Linked DNA regions of Canis lupus familiaris. The protein of the gene in region 2 purifies or fractionates together with the protein of the main gene of each other region. This does not show direct contact. Links are inferred from orthologs where the notes say so. Each region holds a gene or a part of one and is shown on either strand. Other genes may lie near its edges.

What was found.
Region 1: the proteins of CSNK2B (region 2) and RPS6KA4 purify together in Homo sapiens (affinity purification with mass spectrometry; 3 studies listed by BioGRID and IntAct, with this or other methods). This does not show direct contact. The link is inferred for Canis lupus familiaris from reciprocal best matches to the Homo sapiens genes CSNK2B and RPS6KA4.
Region 3: the proteins of CSNK2B (region 2) and KAT6A purify together in Homo sapiens (affinity purification with mass spectrometry; 3 studies listed by BioGRID and IntAct, with this or other methods). This does not show direct contact. The link is inferred for Canis lupus familiaris from reciprocal best matches to the Homo sapiens genes CSNK2B and KAT6A.
Region 4: the proteins of CSNK2B (region 2) and ZNF687 purify together in Homo sapiens (co-immunoprecipitation; 3 studies listed by BioGRID and IntAct, with this or other methods). This does not show direct contact. The link is inferred for Canis lupus familiaris from reciprocal best matches to the Homo sapiens genes CSNK2B and ZNF687.

Annotation. Positions count from the first base shown.
Region 1 is NC_049239.1:53,220,519-53,226,634, forward strand, and holds part of RPS6KA4 (ribosomal protein S6 kinase alpha-4), read right to left. Parts: intron 5,740-6,116; coding exon 5,632-5,739; intron 5,503-5,631; coding exon 5,326-5,502; intron 5,238-5,325; coding exon 5,134-5,237; intron 5,034-5,133; coding exon 4,883-5,033; intron 1,988-4,882; coding exon 1,823-1,987; intron 1-1,822. UniProt on the Homo sapiens protein: Serine/threonine-protein kinase that is required for the mitogen or stress-induced phosphorylation of the transcription factors CREB1 and ATF1 and for the regulation of the transcription factor RELA, and that contributes to gene activation by histone phosphorylation and functions in the regulation of inflammatory genes.
Region 2 is NC_049233.1:1,286,668-1,292,254, reverse strand, and holds the start of CSNK2B (casein kinase II subunit beta), read right to left. Parts: upstream 4,138-5,587; 5' UTR 4,048-4,137; coding exon 3,999-4,047; exon of another isoform or gene 3,920-3,998; intron 3,909-3,919; exon of another isoform or gene 3,501-3,908; intron 3,401-3,500; exon of another isoform or gene 3,248-3,400; intron 3,125-3,247; exon of another isoform or gene 2,977-3,124; intron 2,656-2,976; coding exon 2,573-2,655; intron 1,838-2,572; coding exon 1,735-1,837; intron 1,177-1,734; coding exon 1,061-1,176; intron 428-1,060; coding exon 352-427; intron 205-351; coding exon 15-204; intron 1-14. Other genes in the region: GPANK1 (G patch domain and ankyrin repeat-containing protein 1), read left to right, coding at 5,038-5,587. UniProt on the Homo sapiens protein: Regulatory subunit of casein kinase II/CK2.
Region 3 is NC_049237.1:24,336,806-24,342,921, forward strand, and holds part of KAT6A (histone acetyltransferase KAT6A), read left to right. Parts: intron 1-1,177; 5' UTR 1,178-1,493; coding exon 1,494-2,093; intron 2,094-6,116. UniProt on the Homo sapiens protein: Histone acetyltransferase that acetylates lysine residues in histone H3 and histone H4 (in vitro). Component of the MOZ/MORF complex which has a histone H3 acetyltransferase activity. May act as a transcriptional coactivator for RUNX1 and RUNX2.
Region 4 is NC_049238.1:61,011,044-61,016,686, forward strand, and holds part of ZNF687 (zinc finger protein 687), read left to right. Parts: exon of another isoform or gene 1-9; intron 10-1,453; 5' UTR 1,454-1,470; coding exon 1,471-3,576; intron 3,577-3,722; coding exon 3,723-3,901; intron 3,902-4,198; coding exon 4,199-4,375; intron 4,376-4,463; coding exon 4,464-4,626; intron 4,627-4,776; coding exon 4,777-5,109; intron 5,110-5,200; coding exon 5,201-5,313; intron 5,314-5,503; coding exon 5,504-5,643. UniProt on the Homo sapiens protein: May be involved in transcriptional regulation.

The DNA.
Region 1 (6,116 bases), on a different chromosome or scaffold from region 2:
CAGAAAATGATGGATTCAATGCATGAAAGGGCCACAGCCTGGCATCACACACACTTAGTTTATGAGAATTCAAATCCACCCACTGAATACAAAAGGTCTTTATGCCTTCATCTCAAACCAAACATTGGTCTCCTCTGCAAGGGGGAGGGGGGCACTGAGGAAATACAATGGGGCGATTCAAGGGATTCTAAGGGCAAGTTTAACAAGTTGTTTTCTCCTAAAAACACAGCACCCACTGCATAAGAATGAAGACTCCACGCTTGGATTTGGGTTCATTGATCCGGCCCCAGGATCCAGGGCCAGATCAATGGCACACCGCAGGCACTCAGTACATATTGTTGAATCATTAAATGAATGAATGAGGGGTGCCTGGGTGACTCAGTCAGTTGGGAGTCCAACTCTTGGTTTCAGTTCAGGTCATGATCTTGGGGTGGTGGGATTAAGGCCCGCAGCAGGCTCCACACTCAGTGGGGAGTCTGCTGGAGATTCTCTCTCCCTCTCCCTCTCCCCATGCACCCCTAGGCTCCTGCACTCTCTGTCTCTCTAAAAATAAATCTTTTTTAAAAAATAATTAAATAATTAAATAAAAAGTAAATGAATGAATGACAGTAACCACTGATTCACAAGAAAGAACTTTTTCAGAACTGCAAGACAATGGGGGTACCTGGGTGGCATAGTCAGTAAAGCATCAGACTTTTTGGTTTTGGCTCAGGCCATAATCTCAGGGTCATAGGATCAAGCACCCCATCAGTCTCTGCACTCAGCGTGGAGTCTGCTTGAGACTCTCTCCTTCTGCCTCTGCTCCTACCCCCCCCCCCGCCCACCCCGGCAAATAAACAAATCTTTAAAAAAAAAAAAAAAAAAAAAGAACTGCGAGATAATGGGTAGAGGGTTGTTCCAGCACAGCCATCATTGGGAGAGCCTCAGAGAGAATGGACCCATCTACATTTGATATTGGCCTGTTCTTATTTCATATTTATGGGCCAGATCCTACAGGCCAGATCCTATGGGCCATACTGGGTAAAGGGACAGAGAAATTAAACACAGTCCCTACTTTCTGGGAGTTTCCAGACCAGTCTCAGTAACGCAGTTAGGATACAACCAGACACAGTGCTTAGAAGGAAGTGCTATCTACAGGGGACTGGTGCACAAGGAAAGGGCAACCCAGAACCAGAGCAGTGGGAAGAATTCACAGAGGAGCAGCGTTGCACAAAGAGGCTTGAAAGGTGAGGGGGAGCGTGCCAGGTGGGCAACTGTGGGGAAGGTACTCCAGGTGGAGGGAATTGCACGTGCAAAGGCACGGACGTGCGTTTGGGAACCTCTGAGCAGTTTGTAGGTGCTAGAGCACCAAGTGGGATAATGGTGAGCGCTGAAGCTGGGGCACTGAGCAAGGACCACATTGTGCAGAGCCTTGAATGCCAAGGAAAGGAGTCTGGCCTTGTGCAACAGGCCTAAGCTTCTAAAACTGAGTGCAGGGGGCCTGTGCTTCCACAAATGTGAAATGGTTTGTCAAGGGACATACAAAGCCACAGTATAAACATGGCATCTCTTTCTAGTTGTCCACTGAAGCAACTGAATAGTTACAACAATATCTTTATATAACAATAAAGATATATGGAGTGGAAGAGAAATTAACATGAAATTTAAAGATAAACTATGAAATTCAAAGACATAGCCTGCCATGGTAGTCTGTACACCAGACAACTCCAGGTACCCACCAGTGGACAGGGGAGATGCTGAGTCCTGCTGAGTCAGCCTGGGCCAAGGCTGGCAGCAGTATCCTGTCTCCATGGCACCTGTGGTTCTGTGAGCTCTCACTCACCTGGAAGATGCGGGGGTCCCCAGGTGGGGGGCTGCCAGGGGGTGAGTATACAGGCTCCAGCCGAGTAAATTCCTCTGCAAAGTTGCCTACATCCAGCTCCGAGCGGATCTGTGGTCGGAATGGGGCTGGAACTTTCCTGGCAGCCAGAGCGGCCCAATCCAGACCCTGGAGAGATGGAATAAGAGACTGGGAGTGAAATGTAGGAAATGAAAACCCCCATCTGCCACAGGGGGCCACATTCACTGGGCAGCTCCTCAGTGAGGCAAGGGTCTATATGGCATTTGAGTGGAAAGCTGTTTTCCGGCCTTCCCAGCTTGTTTTTCTCCCTCTGATAAGAGAATCCTTATTTCTACCACACTTTTGATAGCACTGGCATGCAAAACAAATCTCTTCCTCCAACTGGACTTAAATCTGAGAGGGCATGGGCCTGGAACCACTAGGGACCTCCTGCAAAAAAACCAAGAGACAAAGAAAGAAATTCTTAACATAAATCCAGCACCTGGATGCAGTCTTGCCTGAGGTCAGACCACTTTTCCTTGGACTTTTCACTTACGGGAGCTAAAACATGCTTTTTTATGTTTCATCTATGGTGGCAGAACCTGTTTGTGGCCTCCCCAACTTCCATACTCCCCATCTTCCTTAGTACCATAGCCCCGATATTATTACAGAAAGCAATGTATGCAACTAAAAACCATTATTTTATGAACTTCCTTGCACTTCAGTGTGACCCATGATGACCTGCAAGCAAAAATTATGAGAATCCAGAGAAAGAACCTCAAGAGGAGGGTGAACAGGGCAGCCCAGGTAGCTCAGCGGTTTAGCGCCACCTTCAGCCCAGGGCGTGATCCTGGAGACCTGTTTCTCCCTCTGCCTGGGTCTCTGCCTCTCTCTGTGTCTCTCATGAATAAATAAATAAAATCTTAAAAAAAAAAAAGAAAGAGGGTATCCCTGGGTGGCTCAGTGGTTTAGCACCTGCCTTCGGCCCAGGGCTTGATCCTGGAGACCTGGGATCAAATCCCACGTTGGGCTCCCTGAATGGAGCCTGCTTCTCCCTCTGCCTGTGTCTCTGCCTCTCTTTCTGTCTCTGTCTCTCATGAATGAATGAATGAATGAATGAATGAATGAATGAATAAATAAATAAATAAATAAATAAATCTTTAAAAAAAAAAGAAAGGAAGAAAGAAAGAACTGCCAGAGACAGCAATTTTCTTCTCCCTCTGCCTGTGTCTCTGCCTCTCTCTCCCTCTCTCTCTCTCTCATGAATAAATAAAAATATTTAAAAAAAAAAAAGAGGAGGGTGAACAGCTGGCACGTGCCCAGTTTGCCCTTCCCCTCCTTTTTGCTCCTGATTTCTGCCCAGATGACAGCCTAAATGGCAAGCACTTCAGCAGCCATTTTGGATCACAAGGCAACCCTGGGACCAGAGACTCCTGGGTGGCTCAGTGGTTGAGCATCTGCCTTCAGCTCAGGGTATGATCCCAGATCTTGGGATCAAGTCCTGCACTGGGATCCCTGCATGGAGCCTGCTTCTCGCTCTGCCTATGTCTCTGTCTCTCTCTGTGTGTCCCTCATGAATAAATTAAAAAATCTTTAAAAAAAAGAAGAAGAAGAAAGGGGCTTGTATTCATGAAAACACCACAGCAGCCCTGGCCTGCCAAGCCTACTATGTCAGAAAATACATACATACATACATACATAAAGCTCTATCTTTAAGCCACTGTTCACTCCGACCTCTATTCTTAGCAGCCAAACTTATTCCAGGGATATCACCATTCTGAGTTGGACTTCTTGTCACTTGCAGCCAAGAGGCCTGATCTGGGCTTGAAGGCCCAGGATCTGGCACCAGGACCTCTGCACTACTATCACCAAAGAGGCTGTCTTGAGAGAAGGGGGACTGCAGGGAACACTTCTTGTGAGTATCAGGCCCTGAAGACCTTAGGGCCTCTTCCGGTATTACTGTTGGTCAAGCCATTCCCAGTACCCCGGGCCTGGCATGTGCTCAGGGTGGCTCAGGGAATTCACTTCAAGAAACTGACACTGCTCGGCCACTTCCCCCACAGAAGGACAACTTCACTATGAAGACTGAGATTCCTGTCCCAGAAAGCATCTCCGAAGGACCTTCCAGGCAGGCACTCAGTGAGAAGATAGAAGGAGATGGCACTCACAGCAAGGGTAACCAGGTGCCCAGCCCACGGTAAGTGCCCATAAATGAGCACTTTTGTTACGATGCCAGACAACTGGCAAATCGAATGCCCACAGGTAAATGCAACACACGAGTTAAGGACATGGGCTTCAAATCAGCCAGACCTGGGTGTGGATCTGAGCTCCATCACTTCCTGGCTGGGTGACCTTGGGCAAATTCCTTAACCTCCCTGAACTTCAGTTTCCTCATGTGGAAAGACAGCAATCATCAAAATGGTTCTAAAGGTTACATGAAATGATGCAAGCAAAGAGCCAACACACAGCAGGTGTTCACCATTACAGGATCCTGCTGGCAACAATGCTGGCCATGCACAGCACCCAAGCCAGTGAGGTCTCACTAAGAAGCAGAATTCACGCTGCACTGCACTCTAACCTGTGCGTGCTCTTCACAGGTGAAGAAAACCCCAGTGACTGACCAACTGTCCATCTGAATCACAGGCACAAAGACTGTACTGAGGACAAAGAACAAAATGCCTGGGTGGGTGCTGAGAGTGGCAAGTGTGACTTTTAGTACTGGTGTGAGCCAAGAGGGGACTGACCTGCAATGTGTCTCCAGCTCTACACTATTTCCTGTACAGTCTGGAGAGGTCACGCCCCTTCTCTGAACCTGCCCAGTGAGGGGACTGAGGAAGCCATCCTCAAGCCCCTGCCAGCCAATGAACCTGGGAAAATTCTTTCCCCCAGGATCACATCTACCAAGTTTCATGAGAGATGGAGAAAAACTGGCTATCTGGTGGTTTTCCTAAAGCAGTTGAAATCAGTGGGTCTCAGACCATCCCTCCAGTGTCCCTCAACCCAGGGCAATAGCCCACTCTGGGGGTGTGCAGAGACACGTGGGGGAAGAGTCAGGAGTCTTACCTGGAAGAAGGGGTGGTTCTTGACTTCCTGTGCCCCCTGGGGCCCTGCACCCAGTCGCTTCTTGGGGTCCTTGCAAAGTAGCCGCTGCAGCAGGTCCTGTGCCACGGGCCCGATCCGGGGGGGGAAGGGAGGGGAGCACTTCAGGATCCGTCTGGGAGGATTGGGGGGGCGTCAGGGGCAGCGAGCCCCCTCCCCAACCCTGCCCAGGCCCCTCACTCTCCCTGCCCCCATCCTTGTCCAGCCCCGCTCACCGGGAGACCTCTGCCTGCGTGTTCCTCTCGCCCTCCAGGGTGAAGGGCGAGGCCCCCGTCAGCAGCTCGAAGAGGAGGATGCCCAGACTCCACCAGTCCACAGCCTGATGGGGTAGAGCCAGGGAGTGAGGGCCCGTGGCCACACCCGCCTCACCCCACCCTCAATCCCCACCCACTCCCCTGCTAACCCACCTTGCCATGACCCGACTTGCTGCGGATAATTTCGGGGGCCATGTACTCGATAGTGCCACAGAAGGAGAAGGTTCGTTCTTTCTGGGAGGGCAAGAGGATCCATTTGGACACCCAGCAGTCCCCAAGGCTCGGAGTAGGACTCGCTGGACTCGTGAGGGTTGGAACACAGGGAATCTCCTGAAGGCAGGACCTAGACCTGTTTACCTCTGCCCCGCAAGAAATGCAGAGCCTGGCATGGAGCAGGAGGACAGGAAGGCGAAGGCTTGAATGGGGGTGCAGTAGGCAGAGAGACTGCCCTTCGCTCACCTCTTCCGTCAGGAACTCCTTGCTAAGCCCAAAGTCTGTGAGTACGATGTGGCCCTCGGAGTCAAGCAGCACATTCTCCAGCTTCAGATCTCGATAGATGATACCCAGCTGGCAAGAGCAAAAGGAGCACTGAGCCTTCCTCCCCAACGCCCCTACCTGCTATGGTGGCCAGGCACCAAGACCCCACTCAGGATAAGGGGAGCCCCCTACAGGTGGGGTCTCCAGTACAGGAGTGGGCACAGGGACCAGGATGGGAAAAAGCCATTGAAGATGTAAAAGCAAGGAAGGAGGACACCATGGGAACAGGCCCCAAGGCCCCAGAGGGAGGAAAACCTATGTGAAGAGCCCCATTTTAAGAAGGCCTTGGAGCCAAGGCATGAGGTCTCCATTTGAGGAAGTTCTGTGAGCATGGCCCCAGGAGGTAGCCCCGAGTTCCCTGTCAGAGGAAAGTCCCTTTGAGGAGGTAGCAGGGGAAGAGATCCCTC
Region 2 (5,587 bases):
TCCCTGCTCCCCACCTGGGCACAAACTGGTTCGCGGGCCGCTTGGGCCGGTACTCGGGGTGCACCATGAAGAGCATGTGAGGGAAACCGGTGCCGAAGTAGGCGCCATCCGTGTGATGGTGCCTCGATGACTTGGGTGTGTACACGTCCATGCACTTGGGGCAGTAGAGCTTCACCATGGCCTCACCTGGGATGTCCGAAAGGCCTGGGAGACAGCTAGACTCAGCAGGCCAGGCACCCCCGAGCCTGCCCCACCACCCTCCCAGACTCAGGCTCAGACTTGCTGAGCCCCATTTCCTTCCCAGAGGACTGGCCATTTCATGAGGCCTCCTTTCCCTTCTCCAACACTCACCGATGGGAAGCATTGGCTGGTTCTCACAGTACACACGGGGACAGTAGCCAAAGTCTCCCTGCTGGTACTTTTCCAACTGAGGTGAATAAAATGAAAGGGGCCGGTGGGTAGGTATGAAAAGAAGAGGCAATCCCCTCCTCAGTCCAACCCACATTGCTCTGTCCTCCACTCCTGCCTCCTTCCGTCCAGATGCCCATTTTAAGCTGGCCAGATGGGCCCTCCTACTCCCCTGCTTCCTTTTCTCCAGGTAGGCAAGTTACAGACCATCAGAGCCATTTGCTGTTTGTTCCCTGAGGAAGAGGCAGACTGCAAAAAATTCCTGTCCAAGGTCACGTCTCCCTCCCTGAAAATACCTCAGTCAGCACAACCCCAATTAGGATTTAATCCCCAGGCCCAGGTTCTGGGGTTCTTCCCCCTCCTTTTTTTTTTCTTAAAGATTTTATTTATTCACGAGAGACAGAAAGAGAGACAGACACAGGCAAGAGAAGAGGCAGGTTCCCTGCGGGGAGCCCAATGCGGGACTCAATCCCAGGACCCCAGGATCACAACCTGAGCCGAAGGCAGACGCTCAGCCTCTGAGCCACCCAGGCGCCCTCTTCCCCTCTTCTTAGCTATAATCTGTGACAAGTTTGAAAACGTGACTCCTTGCTGCAAGAACCTGTTTCCCTTACTACCTCAGAGGAGTCAAGTGGGAGCAGAGAGGCCTCACCATCTGGGCGATGCCACGGTTGGTGAGGATATAGCGGGCGTGGATCAATCCATAAAGCATCTCGGCTGCCTGCTCAATCAGGTCGCTCTGGTTGGGGTTGTCTTCCAGCTCTTCATCTGAAACATGGCCGCAGCCAATTGCAATCACTTGTCTTACAGCTTTCTTAGGTGCCCCATCCACCTCCAGGGGCTGCTGGCTACTCATCTTTGCGCCACCCATCACCTGGGCATTTGACCCAGAAACCTGGGCCTCTGGCCCTTCCACCCACCCACCCAAGGCAGCTCTGCCTTCTCTCTATACCTCTTCAGCCTTTACTCTCTTCTCTCCCTCCCAACTCTCTCAACACATAAATGAAAAAGATCAACATAGAAGCTGGAACTCTAGACTGAAAGGTGCAAGGCAAGACAGGTAAGCAGGAAATGAGATCCATGAGGAAACTAACATTAAGGGAGAGAGCCAAGTTACAGGATCAGAGTGTAGAATGAGGCTGTCACAAATCCAGGCAAAAGTCAGATGAGAGAGCAAAATAAAGTACAGAACTTAGGACAAAAGCAATCAGAGAACCAAAAGGAAATTTAGAAATTCAAGAAGCAGATCAACAGGAATTTGGGAGAAAAAAGAAAAACCACACACACACACACACACACACAAAGATAACCCCGAGGATGCCTCACCAGGCTCCAGGTCCAAGATCATGTCTAGAGCTTGTCGATAGTGAGGCACCTGCTCATTGAGTCCAGTGAGATTGAATTTATCCTGGATGTAGTCTTCATCCACCTGTCAGGATGTGGAAGTCAAGAAGAAACCCATAGCAGAATCCTCAGCTTTGATCTGGGCACATTGCTCTAATTGGTGCCTTGTTTCCAACACAACTGCTTCTGTTTTCCCTAATTCCCCACACCAACTCAGCAGAAATCCTTGAGTCTCTCTCCCCAGTTCACATACACTGCCTTCCCATAAAAGCTCTGGCTTTTCTTTCCTAAGGATAAGCAGCTACAACAATCTCTTCCTTAACGAGACACTCCTTTTAAAATCCCTGTTCCTATTCTTGATCCCATCTCTACAGACCAGTTTTGTCCTCTCCTTACCGGCAGCTAGAACTCTAAGAAAAGCAGCGACTAAACAGCTTGGGTCCTGTGGGCAGTTATAATCCATTATATCATTAGCACAAAACTTTGCCTGTTACAAAACATTTTGATAAACGGCATTTTAATCCTAATAGGCTCCCAAATTAAGCACTACTAGTACAAGCCTAGCAATAATAATAAGAATAACAGTAGTAGTAGTAGTAGTAATAAAGTTGACTTTTCCAATATTACACCGCTGGACAGTAACAGGCTTGGGATGGGCAAGTCTTGCCACTTCACAAATTAGTGAGGGGAGTTACTGAAGGGACTCTTCCTTGACAGGAAAAAGTTTCTATGACAGCCTGTAAGAGAAGTAGAAGCTAAATATGTGGAAAAACATACAGCCAAACTTTGTGCGGACATAGCTGGGAGATTGAGAACTCACTTCACAAAAGAATTCATTGCCACGGAGCCCACAGAACCAGGATATCCAAGACACCTCCTCTGAGCTGCTCATCTTCACGTCAGCTGGGAAAAAAAAAAAAAAGAGGGTAAACAAAGGCCAAGCTCCCCCACCCTGTCTCTGGTACCTTCCCTCCTCCCCACACTCTGCTCCCCGACCATGGAAGAATTTGGAGCCCCCTTTTCTTAAAGGATCCTAGACCCTGGCGCACCTGCCTCCAATTCCTCTTATTCACTAGAGGCTCTTTGGAGTCCCACCACTTCTGAAAAACCGACAGGTCTAGGCTCACCCGTCCTACCCACACCCCTAACAATCCCGAAAACCAGCACCCTCTCCTCTTTACGTCAAGTCCCTCCCTCGCAGGGCTCTCGGCTCGAGATCCCTACCCCGCAGGTCTCCGCATGTCCCCGACACCTTTCCCAAGGGTTCCGAAGTTTATCCTTTCCAAGCAAAAGCCAGGACCCTTTCCCCTCACGACCTGGAGGTGGCCCTGGGTCCCTCTCACAGGAGTCCCCACACCCCGCCTCTCAGGCCAACCCTCCCTCCCCCGGTGCCGGACCGGGTCACTTCCTTCCCCACCCCCACACCAACGCGCGGAGACCCCATGTGCCGCGCCTAAGGACGGAAGACTCGATGCGGCAACGACCTCAGACTCACCGGCTGGGCGGGGACCGGGACCGGGACCGGGGTGGGGGAGGGGAGTTGCTGCTTCCAAAGAACCGCGACGGCTACAGCGCAGGCCGCGGACCCGACCGCGGCAGGCGAAGTAGCGAGGGGGGGGGGGCGGGGGGCGGTGTGTGTGGAAATTGGGGAGGGTGGGGAGAGGGCAACGCGCAAGCGCCAAGGGTCGGGCGCCGCAGTGAACGCCGGGAAATGGAGTCCCAGGTAAAGAGAAACTGGCGAAGCGAAGAACAGGCGAACTACGAATCCCAGGATGACCCACGAACGACCCTGGCGTCGCGAGGCCCAGGAACAAGACGCTCGGGGGTGGGGAGCAGCGGGATACCACCGGAAGCGGAAGCGCAGTACCCCGTTCTGGGCCAGGGAGTATGGGAAATAGAGTCGTAGGGTCGCGCAACTGAGGGGCCGGGAGGGGGCGGGGAAGGAACGGGGCTGGAGGGCTGGATTCCTGCAACTCCCCTCACACAGCGAGGCTCTGCCCCAGGTGTTTGCCGGCAGCCCAGGGTGCTGACCTCGTCCCCGACTACCCCACCGGGTCCTTGTTGCCTGCGGAGCCTCTCGCCAGAGTCAGGCCCGCCACTGGAGGCCCCACCCGGGCCGGTGCTTCACCCCGGGGTCTAGTCTCCTCAGGCGGGAGGTGAGGCCGGGCTCCTTGCTTGCGGGACGTGGGAAGAGTGGGCTGGGCTGAGGTGAGCGGTGTGAGAATTGGGACGGCCTGTGCGCTAACCTGAAGTGGCGCCAGCCATTCTGCTGCTCGTCCCCTTGCACTTTTCCATCTCCTCTCAGAGCTTGAATGGGGCCTTCTGCTGCGGGCACTAAGTGTGACCTTCGAACCCTGCTCAGAATAATGGTGAGGGGTGGCGTGACGTTATTTCACTTCACGGCTTCGGGGCATTCCACAGGTTTCCTCCCGCCTTCTCAGAGCCCTCCTTAACTCGGTGGTTTCGCAGGTCCAAAAACTGCGCTCGGAGTGGGGGGCCACGTTCCGGGAGGCGAAGGGCATTGTGGGGCGTTATGTAGAAGTAGGACCCCAACCGACAGAGCCTCTGTCCTCGCGCTGCCTGGGCACGTGGCATCCTGGAGGGTCCCACCGTGCGAAGGCTCAGCCTGGCGCTTCGCACACGCCCGCACCCTCAAGTTCTGCTTTGTGGTGGTTGATTTTTTTTTCAGTCACACATGTGTGTCTGGGTCGTGTGGCTATTGGACTGGCAGCACCTTTGCTTAGATAAAATTTTTGTGGTACAGAGACCCTGTGGGGTCTCCACAGAGACTGGAGTTTCTCCCCCAAATCTTCTTCTTGCATCCGGAGAAGGTTAAAAGTCTGTTTTTGTTTGGAAAGACCCTACCCTGACATAGGATCAAGGAAGATTTAAAGGGCTAGGCTGATTGTTTTCTTAACTGCACGTCTTACCTGGTGATCAAGTAGTTTGAGAGAGAAGCTGTTTTTACTTATTGGTGAGGATAGGGATGGGCCTCTGGGCAATTCTCATTAAATCTTTGTTAAGTTAACCTTTACGAGGGATATGGGCTGTTATTGTATGGCTCCCTGTTTTTCCACATGACCTATGGTCCTTAGGCCCTGTAGGGTCCTAGGTTGTGGGGTCACTTAGAGTATAAGACGGGTTTTTGACTTGGAAAAGGCTACTTTTCCTCATCCCAGCAGATCTGTGGAGGTGGTTCTGGTCAGTGCAGAGCCACCAAGGGATTGGCTTGCTTGTCTCATACGCCCTTTAATTAGTCTCATTGTCTCAGTTCTCCCAAAAGCCATGTCCAGGCCCTCCCTCATCACCTTCACCCCGGCCACCAACCCCAGTGACCTCTGGAAAGATGGGCAGCAGCAGTCACAGCCTGAAGAGCTGGAGCCCACCCTGAATGGGGCTGCAGCCCGGGCTTTCTATGAGGCCCTGATTGCAGAAGAGAGCAGCATCCCTGCATCCCAGAGATCTCAGCCTGAACCTGACAGGAAAAGAAAGAGGAAGAAGAGAAGAATGATGGGGGAAGCTGCTGTAGGAGCCTCAGCAGGACATGGACAAAGGAGATCCCTTGAGGCAGAGGACAAGATGACCCATTGGATACTGAGGGCAGCCCAGGAGGGTGACCTAGCAGAACTAAGAAGGCTCTTGGATCCCCACGAGGCAGGGGGAGCGGGGGGCAATATCAATGCTCGGGATGCCTTCTGGTGGACCCCCCTGATGTGTGCTGCTCGAGCAGGCCAGGGGGCTGCTGTGCGCTATCTCCTGGGCCGTGGAGCTGCCTGGGTGGGTGTCTGTGAGCTGGGTGGCAAGGATGCTGCTCAGCTGGCTGAAGAAGCGGGTT
Region 3 (6,116 bases), on a different chromosome or scaffold from region 2:
TTTTGGAAGCAAAGGAGTTAATTTGATTCAGAATTAATTCTGGTGATTTTCAAAAAAGATCTGTATCTGCCAGATTTTTTTGTTTGACAGAAGAATATGGACTTTGATCCTGGAGAGGCAATGTAATATGCCTGTGTTTTACTCATTAGTGTTCATTTCAGGTCAGCAATCTTGAACCTATGAGATTTCTTTTTAGACTTGCCAGCAGGCAGTAACGTACATTTGATATATAGTGTATGCATTTGAACCCTGTGATTCTGGGTAGCTTGGCTATCAACATTTTGACAGTTGTTACTCCCTCCAGTCTATTGAATATTAGTATTTTAGTTTGTATTAATTGTTAGCATTTAGGAGAAGCTATCAGCGTGTAATTCTTAAAATTTGAATGAATTTAGATAATTTTAAAATTCTTTAAGCACTTTTCTCACTTGATGATTTTTTTTTTAAGATTTTATTTATTTATTCATGAGAGGCAGAGACATAGGCAGAGAGAGAAGCAGGCTCCATGCAGGGAGCCTGATGTGGGACTCCATCCAGGGTCTTCAGGATCATGCCGTGGGCCAAAGGCAGGCACTACACCACTGAGCCATCCAGGGATCCCCTCACTTGATGATTTTCAGTGTTGTTTTTGTTTCCGTTTAGAATGATTACAGTAATGTACTTAAAATACGAACTTCATTGTAAATTGTGTTTTTGTTTCTTTTAATATGTGAAATAGTTAAAATTTTCTCCCCCCCCCCTTTTTTTTTTTGTTGCATTATTGACTATTTTTATGCAGTCCGAATGTCTGGAATTTTGAAAGGTTCACTCTTACTTTCATTGCAGGATTCTTTCTACTAATCCAGATACTTGTTGAAGTGCTGAATAGGTTCTTGGGGAACGATGTCAAGGAAGACTTTCAGTTCATAGACTGGTGAGCAGAGATTGTGGAGTACAGAATAGTCAGCACCCCTCTGCGTAGTTGTAGCATAAGGTCCTTCATAGTATATCTCATCTTGTATCCTAATTATTTTTTTTTCTTTTTTGCCCCAATGGTTTACATACATAACTGTTTTTGGAATATTGATGAAAACTTGTTAAAACTCTACAGGTTCTCAGTAACACTTGATTTGGTTACTTTTAAAGACTAGGATGTGGGATTTGATAGAAAATTGACCTTGTTTTAATTGTTTTTCAGGCATAAGATGCACGTTTTCCTGCTGGGAATGAGATGTTCGTGAGTTCTTACAACTAGATGAAGAGACCCATGTGTGGTGCTATTGAGAAGTTTATTGGGAAGTTCAAAGACATTTCAAATAACAGGTTGTTTTGGTTTCTAAAGTAAAAGTGAGGAGGCACTCTGTTTTGTGAAGGAGAAAAGACTCAGGCCAGAAAACTTGTATGCTATGGTTAACTGGTTCCCAGCCTCCGAGAATGTTGTTTTCCATGGTGTAAAACTTACTCAGCATCAGGATAAGGGATAACGACTCTATGGATATACAGAATCCTTCACCATGGTAAAACTCGCTAACCCGCTATATACTGAGTGGATTTTGGAGGCCATCAAAAAAGTGAAGAAGCAAAAACAGCGTCCTTCAGAAGAAAGGATATGCAATGCAGTGTCTTCATCCCATGGCTTGGATCGTAAAACTGTTTTAGAACAATTGGAGTTGAGTGTTAAAGACGGAACAATTTTAAAAGTCTCCAATAAAGGACTCAATTCCTATAAAGATCCTGATAATCCTGGGCGAATAGCACTTCCTAAACCCCGAAACCATGGAAAATTGGATAATAAACAAAATGTAGATTGGAATAAACTGATCAAGCGGGCGGTTGAGGGCTTGGCGGAGTCCAGTGGCTCAACTTTGAAAAGCATTGAACGTTTTTTGAAAGGTCAGAAGGATGTGTCTGCATTATTTGGAGGCAGTGCTGCCTCTGGCTTTCACCAGCAGTTACGATTGGCTATTAAACGAGCCGTTGGCCATGGCAGACTCCTTAAAGATGGACCTCTTTATCGGCTCAACACTAAAGCAACCAGTGTGGATGGGAAAGAGAGTTGTGAGTCTCTTTCCTCTTTACCTCCAGTGTCACTCCTTCCACATGAAAAGGATAAGGTAAGAGTGACATACCCATCAGTGTTCATAGAACTGATGATATAGTATGCTTCAAAGTCACATTTCTAGGAGATTATTTAGAACTTATATTCAGGTTTTGTGTTTGGGGACTTTTGGAATGATCACCTCTGTTTTTTTATTGTTGAGTTGTTAGAATTCGGTAGCTACCAGTTGTCCTTATATTTTGGAATATTTGATGCCTGAGTTTCTTTCTTTCTTTTCTTTCTTTTTTCTTTCTTTCTTTTTTTTTTTATGCCTGAGTTTCAAAGTGTATTGAAATAGGTATTGATATACCTAAAAGAACCTATTCAGAATTTAAAAGTAGCATTCTACTTTAAGGCTGTTGTAAGTTCTTATAATATTTTACTGCTGGAAGTTGATGAACACTGCTAAAAATTGGAAGCTTGGATTTGAAATTAGCAAGTGACTCTAAGAACCTCTGTTTTTAAACCCCTTTTTCTTTTGTTGCACATCATCATTAGGTAGGAGTGAGACTGGTTCTCTTGACCCATAGTAGTAGCTAAGCAAATTTATCAGTACTTATTTCTGTTGTATTCTAACATTCATGTGTTCTTTGCATAGGATGAAGTCCTAAGTGTTATTGTTTATGACAGGTGTAACTACATAGGAATAAAGTATCCTATATTCCTAAAGTTCTGTGCAGTTTGGAGTTTTGATACACAGTGGTGTATCTTACTGTGCTGTTTTATGCCATTATTTTGTGCAGTTGAAAATACACTAAGAAACAGCTAATTTTGGCCCTTGACTAGATATTGGAGGATGGGGAGAATTTTGTTTGTAGTTTTTTACATTGACCTACTGTCTTGAGCTGTAAAATTATTTCGGGTGTTCTGAATTGTAGTTCTGGGGAGAGTTGTAGTACTGATGCACACTTTAGTATACAGTAGTAAAACAATCTTTATTTTGCCTAAGATATAGGTAGAAGCTACTCCCAGGATGAGAAGATTGTGAAGTTAATATTGAATGTATTTAAAAATGTTTGAGAGTCAAGTCTAAATTTATTGCAGTTAATAACCCACCTATAGATTTTTGTCTAAAGAGCAGTTGAAAATTAACAGTATTTTTCTTTGAGGAGGTTTTTAGAGATCTGTTTTAGGGTTCAGTTTTCCCAGTGAGCTTTGAAATAGAAACATCATCTTACTGTTACTACCTTTGAAAGGATTCTGATAGAATGATTATCATTTGAGTATTTATTAAAAAGTGTGGTATTAAAAATTCAAGGTAGACAAGTAACTAAAATGCTTTATTCTGTAGTTCAGTGCTGTAGAACTTACTGTAATAACTGTTTCTTGATCCCATATAGCTGAAGTTAAAAGAAGTATAATGATTGATTCCTGAAATTGTTACAAAATGATCCACAGGTTAACTACATGGAAACAGGAAATAATTTATAGTTTACAATGAATTCAGTGTTATATCTGTGAATTGAGTATTATAAATTCTTGTTAGAACACCAGAGTGCAAAAAAACAAACAAAAACCAGAGTGCTTGCTTTTATTATAGTTTCCCTTGCTTGAATTAGATATTTCAATTTTTAAAAATATTAGCCATACATAAAATGTCAATTGTCCATATTTTTTCCTTTCTTTTTAAAATTTTTATCTAAATTCAGTTGATTAATATATTATCGATTTCAGAGGTAGAGGTCAGTGATTCATTTAAGATTTTATTTATTTATTTCATGAGACACACAGAGAGAAAGAGAGGCAGAGACACAGGCAGAGGGAGAAGCAGGCTCCATGCAGAGGGAGCCTGATGTTGGGACTCCAGGATCCCGGGTCTTCAGGATCAGGCGCTGGGCTGAAGGTGGCACTAAATTGCTGAGCCACCTGGGCTGCCCCATCCGTGTTGTATAATACCCAGTGCTCATTACACCACATGCCCTCCCTAATGTCCATCACCTAGTTAACCTCATCCTCTCCGGTCCCCTCCAGTGACCCTCAGTTTATTTCCTATGATTAAGAGTCTCTTATCTCCCTCTCTGATTTTCATCTTGTTTTATTTTTTCCTCTCTTCCCCTGTGATTTTCTTAAATTCCACATATGAGTGAGATCATATGATAATTGTCTTTCTCTGATTGACTTACTTTATTTCACTTAGCATAATATCCTCTAGTTCCATCCATGTCGTTGCAAATGGCAAGATTTCATTTTTTGATGGGTGAGTAGTATATACACATATATATATACACACACACGTATATATACACATACCACATCTTTATCCATTCATCTGTCGATGGATATTTGGGCTCTTTTCATAGTTTGGCTATTGTGGAATTTGTGCATATTTCTGAAAGGTAGCTGATATAGTACACTATGGGACAAATCTGAGTCCTATCTCCTTAGGACTTTACTTTTGAAAGGGATGTTAAGAACCATCTAATTTAACAATTCTTACTTTGCAGCTGAGCTGAGACCTCGACATTAAAAAAGAAGCTTAATCCAGTAGAGATTTGCTGATTTACTTTGGTTAGAAATATCTTTTTGGCTACATAATTGTAATAAATAGTGTTGTTAACCAAAGTAATAAAATTTGGAGTATACATTTAGGAGAATTGAGTTTCATTGAATAGACTTGTATGTATATATACTGGTCTGAATTGAATTGAAAACTAATTTTATGATATCTATGATATTAGAGTTGATGAAATCTGTTATATATTTTTAAAGTCTTATTTTCAGTAGTGAATTTCCTGGGTGACTTCTCCCAAAGATAGGAAGAGCTCACACTCAAGATCATAATACAGTGAGAAATTAATTATTCCTTCTCTGAACAGATTATATGTTTGCTCTTTATATTGCATTTTATCTTTCTTTCCTCTTTTTAAAATTGGTTTGTTGTAATGAACCTAGATATTCTCATCTAGAGTGTATTTGAGAGTGATGGAGAAAGGAAAAGTGCAGGCCAGAAGTAGTTTCACTTTTACGCCTTGATTAATTCAGCAAATGGTTATTGAGCATCTACTGTAGGCCAGGCACTCTGCTTAGAACTGAAATGGCTTGGAACTGAAATGGCATTATTTCAAGTTCCTCTTTATTTTTTTCTAGATCAACTTTAGCTTTTATTTCTTTGGGATAGCAATCTTTGGAAGGAACTGTAGAACTAAGATTTTCAGCATCTTATGATGCTGAATGGTTTTTGCTACTTTTGTTGGGATCAGCTGCATAGAAATACTGTATTTTTAAGAGTTTTTGTGAATATGTTTGAACTTAAGTGTTTTTACATTGATAAATAGCGAGGAAAATCCATGGGATACTATGATTTAAAAGTTTTATCCAGGGGGTATCCCTGGTGGCTCAGCGGTTTGACACCTGCCTTTGGCCCAGGGCGCAGTCCTGGAGTCCCGAGATCGAGTTCCGCGTCGGGCTTCTGGCATGGAGCCTGCTTCTCCCTCTGCCTGTGCCTCTGCCTCTCTCTCTTTCACTCTCTGTGTCTATCATGAATAAATAAAATCTTTTAAAAAAAAATAAAAGTTTTATCCATGTTGTAAGGGAAATTTCTGAGTAGCTTTAGGGTTGTGGTAGTTTATGGTGAATTTGTTTAACTTCTGTTTACTGTGGGCCAGGCATTACTTTAAAGCTAATCATATTAATTTATTTAATTCTCAAACATCTCAGTGAAGTAGGTACTGTTATCATACAGGTGAAGAAACTGAGGCATAAAAGAGATTTAGTAATTTCTCCAAGTCACAGAGATATTTAGTGGCAAAGCTAGGATTTGAACTTGGGCACTCTGGCTCTGGTCTTTGTAACAGCTATACCTATTGCCTCTTGGGAGTTGTTACATAAAATGTCACTGCAGTCAAGTACCCAATTGTTAATGTTCTTGGTGTCAACTTCATAGTACATTGTCTAATTATGAAAGGACACATTTCCCCCTACCGCCACCCCTTCACATTTTGTATCCCTTTTTTTCTCTATCATTAGACTGGATTTTAAAACTGGCTTTGAACCAGTGATAAGAATGTATCAGAAACCAGAGATTATGAAGAATCTAGTT
Region 4 (5,643 bases), on a different chromosome or scaffold from region 2:
TGGCAGGAGGTGAGAGAACTGGCCCTGCGAAATGGCTTGTATCCTGGGCAGAGACTGTAGTGACAGACTTCTTTGGTTACTTCCTAGACATAGAAACACTTGTGGGGAGACACTGGTGAGGAACAGACCCGGGTTCCCCTCAGCCTCTAGGCTGGTTGTGTTGGTTTAGTGCCACATGAGTCTTGTGGGGTGTGTGTGTGTGTGTGTGTGCGCACACGCGCACTGGGACAGGTTGGGGTTGGGTAAGACTTCTTGAACTGGTGTTGCCAAGGGAAAATGAAAAGGGTGAGGAGTGTGAATTAGGAGCTCAGAGCAGGAATAACACGGGTGAGGGGGCTTGGCTTTTCCCCTTTGTGGCAGCCAGGCTTGGCTAAGTTACCCTGGAGCTTTGGCCCTGAGAGAGCAAGATGGGGAGGGAGAGAGGAGGGGCTGGCCCCGGGAGGGCCATGGCAGGGCAGAGGCACTCTGGGGAAGGTAGGTGTGCTAGCAGCAGGTGTTTGTGACAGGAGAGGCCTAGGCTGGGGCCCTTGTGACCAGGTTGCTGGCACGGTTTTCCCCTCTTCTCTTTATCTCTTTCTATTCCTGTGTCTTATTCTTTCCATCTTGGTCTCTTCTCTTGGGTGATTTCCGAGTCCACTTCTCCTTGTTAACCAAGCTAGATCCCCAGGTGCCAGTGATGACCCCAGGTCCCCAGACTTGACCCCTGACTCTTGTCCCTGACCTCAGTCGTAGATTCCCAGTGCTTACTCCTTCCCAGCTTGTTTGTCCCAGCTGTAATAATAAATCCTGCTCCGGGTTTTGACTCGCAGGGTTATGATTTGTATCAGGCTCCGAATAACCCTGTGGTGTATGGATTACTTGCCTCACCTTTCAAAACTAAGGCAGTGGACATGAGGCCATTGATAAAGCTGCAACTAGAATCATTTCTTCCATCTTGGCTTAAGTCATTGTCCCTTTGAACACATGGCTTTCAGATCTCTCCAGACCCCCAGAAGATCCATGAAGATTTATGAATGGATCCCATGCTGCCATGAATGAGCCCTTACACCCAGAGCATGGTGTATATCTTCCTCCTTAATAATGGTATTGATTAATTGATTGGTTCTGTGCTGGGCTCAGGAGGGGCTGAGGTGATTTCAATCAAGATGTTCACTGAACTTCCTCCGTCTCTGTTACCCTTGTTTCTCTACTGTGTCTCTGAGAAGTTTCTTTTCTTCTGCTTTCTCTGAATCTCGGTGTCTTCCCTGGAATGTGCACATAACCTACCTTTCAATTTTAGGGTTTGGCAAACCAGGTGCCCCCACCAGCTCTAGGATTTGTGATGTGGTAAAAGTGTACCCAAGGAGATTGCGCATGGTCCCAAGAGGATAAATATGGAGATCCTGAGGGAGGAGGGCCAGGGTTCCTGCCCTCAGAGGGCTCAATTTCTTACTCTTTTTTCTGTTTTCATCAGGTCTGGGACCTGCTGCCATGGGGGATATGAAGACTCCTGATTTCGATGATCTCCTTGCTGCCTTTGACATCCCTGACATCGATGCCAATGAAGCCATCCACTCTGGGCCAGAAGAAAACGAAGGGCCTGGAGGCTCAGGAAAGCCGGATCCTAGTATAGGAGGTGACTCTGGAGAAGCACCGGCAGCAGCTGCCAGGGACAGCCCTGAGGTGCCAGCCCAGGCCTCTGATCACGGCCTGCCACCGCCAGACATCTCGGCAGTCAGTGTCATCGTCAAGAACACTGTGTGTCCTGAGCAGCCTGAGTCCCCAGCTGGGATTTCAGGAGGAGATGGGCCCCGGGCTGGGGGGGTGACTAAGGAAGGGCCTGTGGGGCCTCGTCTGATGCAAAATGGTTTTGGGGGCCCTGAGTCATCCCTTCCAAGTACACCCCACTCTCCAGCTCCTCTCAGTGGGGGTACCTGGAAAGAAAAAGCTATGGAAGGCAAAGCTACTTTGGACCTCTTTGCTCATTTTGGGCCTGAGCCAGGGGAGCACCCTGATCCCCTCCCTCCCCCAGCACCTTCCCCACCTCGGGAAGGGGCCATGACCCCACCTCCTTTCCCCTCTCCCTTTGAGCTGTCCAGGGAGAATGGCCCAGCCTTGCTGCCACCTGGTTCTCCCCCAGTACGGGGGACCTTGAAGCAAGACAGCTGCAGCCCCCTTCATCCTCAGGGCCTGGCCGGGCTAGGCTCTAGCTTGAGCCCTGAGGCCACGGGTATTCCTGCCAGCGCCTCCCCTCCCCAGGTTGCTGGGTTGCCCTTCTTCAAGCAGTCTCCAGGGCATCAGAGCCCTCCTGCCTCCCCCAAAGTGCCCTGTTGTCAGCCCCTGAAGGAAGAAGAGGAGGAGGGGCCGGTGGACAAGCCTTCCCCAAAAAGTCCCCAGAGCCCCTCTAGTGGAGCTGAGGCTGCAGATGAGGACAGCAATGACTCCCCTGCTTCTTCCAGCTCCTCAAGGCCTCTCAAGGTGCGGATCAAGACCATTAAAACATCCTGCGGAAATATCACAAGGACTGTAACCCGGGTCCCCTCAGACCCTGATCCTCCTGCCCCCTTGGCTGAGGGGACCCTCCTGGCTGAGGCTGGCCTCCTAAAGCTATCCCCTGCAACCCCGACCCCCGAGGGTCCAAAGGTGGTGAGCGTCCAGCTGGGTGACGGCACGAGGCTGAAGGGCACCGTGCTGCCTGTGGCCACCATCCAGAATGCAAGCACTGCTATGCTGATGGCAGCCAGTGTGGCCCGCAAAGCTGTGGTTCTGCCAGGGGGCACTGCCACCAGCCCTAAGACTATGGCTAAGAATGTGCTAGGTCTGGTGCCCCAGGCCCTGCCCAAGGCGGAGGGGCGGCCAGGGCTGGGGACTGGGGGGCAGAAGGTGAACGGTGCCTCAGTGGTGATGGTGCAGCCTTCCAAGCCGGCCACCGGGCCAGGTGCAGGGGGTGGCACGGTGATCTCGCGGACCCAGTCCAGCCTGGTGGAGGCCTTCAACAAGATCCTCAATAGCAAGAACCTGCTGCCTGCCTACCGGCCCAACCTGAGTCCCCCCGCCGAGGCCGGGCTGGCCCTGCCTCCCACGGGCTACCGCTGCCTCGAGTGCGGGGACGCCTTCTCACTGGAGAAGAGCCTGGCGCGGCACTATGACCGCCGGAGCATGCGCATTGAGGTCACCTGCAACCACTGCGCCCGCCGCCTGGTCTTTTTCAACAAATGCAGTCTGCTGCTGCATGCCCGAGAGCACAAGGACAAAGGGCTCGTCATGCAGTGCTCACACCTGGTCATGAGGCCCGTCGCCCTGGACCAGATGGTGGGGCAGCCAGACATCACGCCCCTGCTGGCTGTCCCACCTGCCTTCGGACCTCCAGCCTTGCCTGCCCTGGGCAAGGGTGACGCGGCTGTCGCTGGCGCTATTACTGCTGTCGCCGCCGAAGCCCCTGTGCTACCACTGTCATCTGAGCCGCCTGCTGCCCCTGCCACCTCGTCTTACACATGCTTTCGCTGCCTAGAGTGCAAGGAGCAGTGCCGGGACAAGGCAGGCATGGCCGCCCACTTCCAGCAGCTTGGGCCCCCGGCCCCTGGGGCCAACAGCACTGTGAGTTGCCTGTCCCAGCTCTCCCCGGGGCTGGAGCCCAACGCTCTGGGAGTCAGATCTGGGAAGATGTTGGGGGCTCGGTCAGGGGAGGTCATGGGGTCGGGCCTCTCCTTGCTGACTTACCTTGTCTCCACTCCTGTTGACAGGTATGCCCAACCTGCCCCATGATGCTTCCCAATCGCTGCAGCTTCAGTGCCCACCAGCGCATGCATAAGAACCGGCCTCCCCACGTCTGCCCTGAGTGTGGGGGCAACTTCCTACAGGCCAATTTCCAGACCCATCTCCGGGAGGCCTGTCTACATTTGTCTCGCCGTGTAGGATACAGGTGCCTCCTGCCTCTCCTCCCTGGAGCCTTGTGACTGTTTCCCCACTGCCACCTCCTCCCCCCACCCCCTGGCACTTTATGGCCTCGTGTGTCCCAGCACCAGGCTTTGAGCTGGCCTGTCAGGGAGAGCCCCATCTCCTGCTGAACCCCTCAGCCTCAGATTGGTCTGCTCTTGCCCTGCTCCCGTGGAGAGGGGAGAGAGCTCCGGTTCGGCCTCCATAGGCCTCCGGCTAGGAGCAGGGCCCGGGGGACAGGCTGGAGACACCCTGCCTCACCTCAGCGCCCCCTGCCCCCCAGGTGCCCCAGCTGTGCGGTGGTGTTCGGGGGCGTGAACTCCATCAAGTCCCACATCCAGACGTCGCACTGCGAGGTTTTCCACAAGTGCCCCATCTGCCCCATGGCCTTCAAGTCTGCGCCCAGCGCCCATGCCCACCTCTACACCCAGCACCCCAGCTTCCACACGCAGCAGGCCAAGTGAGACCTGGGAGGGAGCAGGGTGGGCTGGAACGGGGTCGGGGTCCTGATGGGCAGGGTGTCTGCACTGTCCTCTCCGCCCACACAGGATGATCTACAAGTGCGCCATGTGTGACACGGTCTTCACTCACAAACCCCTCCTCTCCTCACACTTCGACCAACACCTGCTGCCCCAACGTGTCAGCGTCTTTAAGTGCCCATCTTGTCCTCTGCTTTTTGCCCAAAAAAGGACCATGCTGGAACACCTCAAGGTATAGGAGACAAGGGACAGAGGCGGGGTGCTCGACTGTGGGGGGTTTGGGGAATAGAACCCTCAGGAAGTGCTGGTGGGGAAGCCGCAAGGCCTCTGGCAGAGCCAGGCCCTCCCCCACAATGGCTGCCCCCTTGTCTCCCTCTCACAGAACACCCATCAGGCTGGGCGCCCGGGGGAGGACAGTGCTGGGAAAGGGGCGGCGGGTGCCCTTACAAGCCCCAAGGCTGAGCCCGAGGAGTTGGCTGTGTCTCGGGGAGGAGCAGCTGCCCCTACTGAGGAATCCTCTTCATCCTCGGAAGAGGAAGAACTTCCCAGCTCTCCTGAGCCTCCTCGCCCAACCAAACGGCCCCGGCGGGAACTAGGGAACAAAGGCATCAAGGGGGGCGGTGGGGGCCCTGGAGGCTGGACCTGTGGCCTTTGTCACTCCTGGTTTCCTGAACGGGACGAGTATGTGGCTCACATGAAGAAGGAGCATGGCAAGGTGAGCAGGGCTCCCTCGGGATCGGTCTGTGGCCATGGGGAGTGGGGTCTTGGAGCCGCGCTCTGAGGCTCCCTACGCTCTGCTCTCCCAGTCAGTGAAAAAGTTTCCCTGTCGCCTGTGCGAGCGCTCCTTCTGTTCCGCCCCCAGCCTGAGGCGCCACGTCAGGGTCAATCATGAGGGTATCAAGCGAGTTTACCCATGCAGGTAACCCTTGCTCCCTCATGCCCACATCCCCTTCCTCTTTCTGACCAGCAAGTGACCTGCCCACCCCATACCCCCAGCCCCACTAAGTACTTTCTGACCTGTGTCTCGTTTGAGTAGACTAGAGGTCGAGGCCTCCCTCTGCTCTGGCCACGGACCCCTGGCACCCACCCTCCCCACTTTCCCCCTCTAGGTACTGCACAGAGGGAAAACGCACCTTCAGCAGCCGCCTGATCCTGGAGAAACACGTCCAGGTCCGGCATGGCCTGCCACTTGGGGCCCAGTCCCCTGGCCGGGGTAGTACCCTGGCTCGGGGCCCTGGTGCCAGAGCCC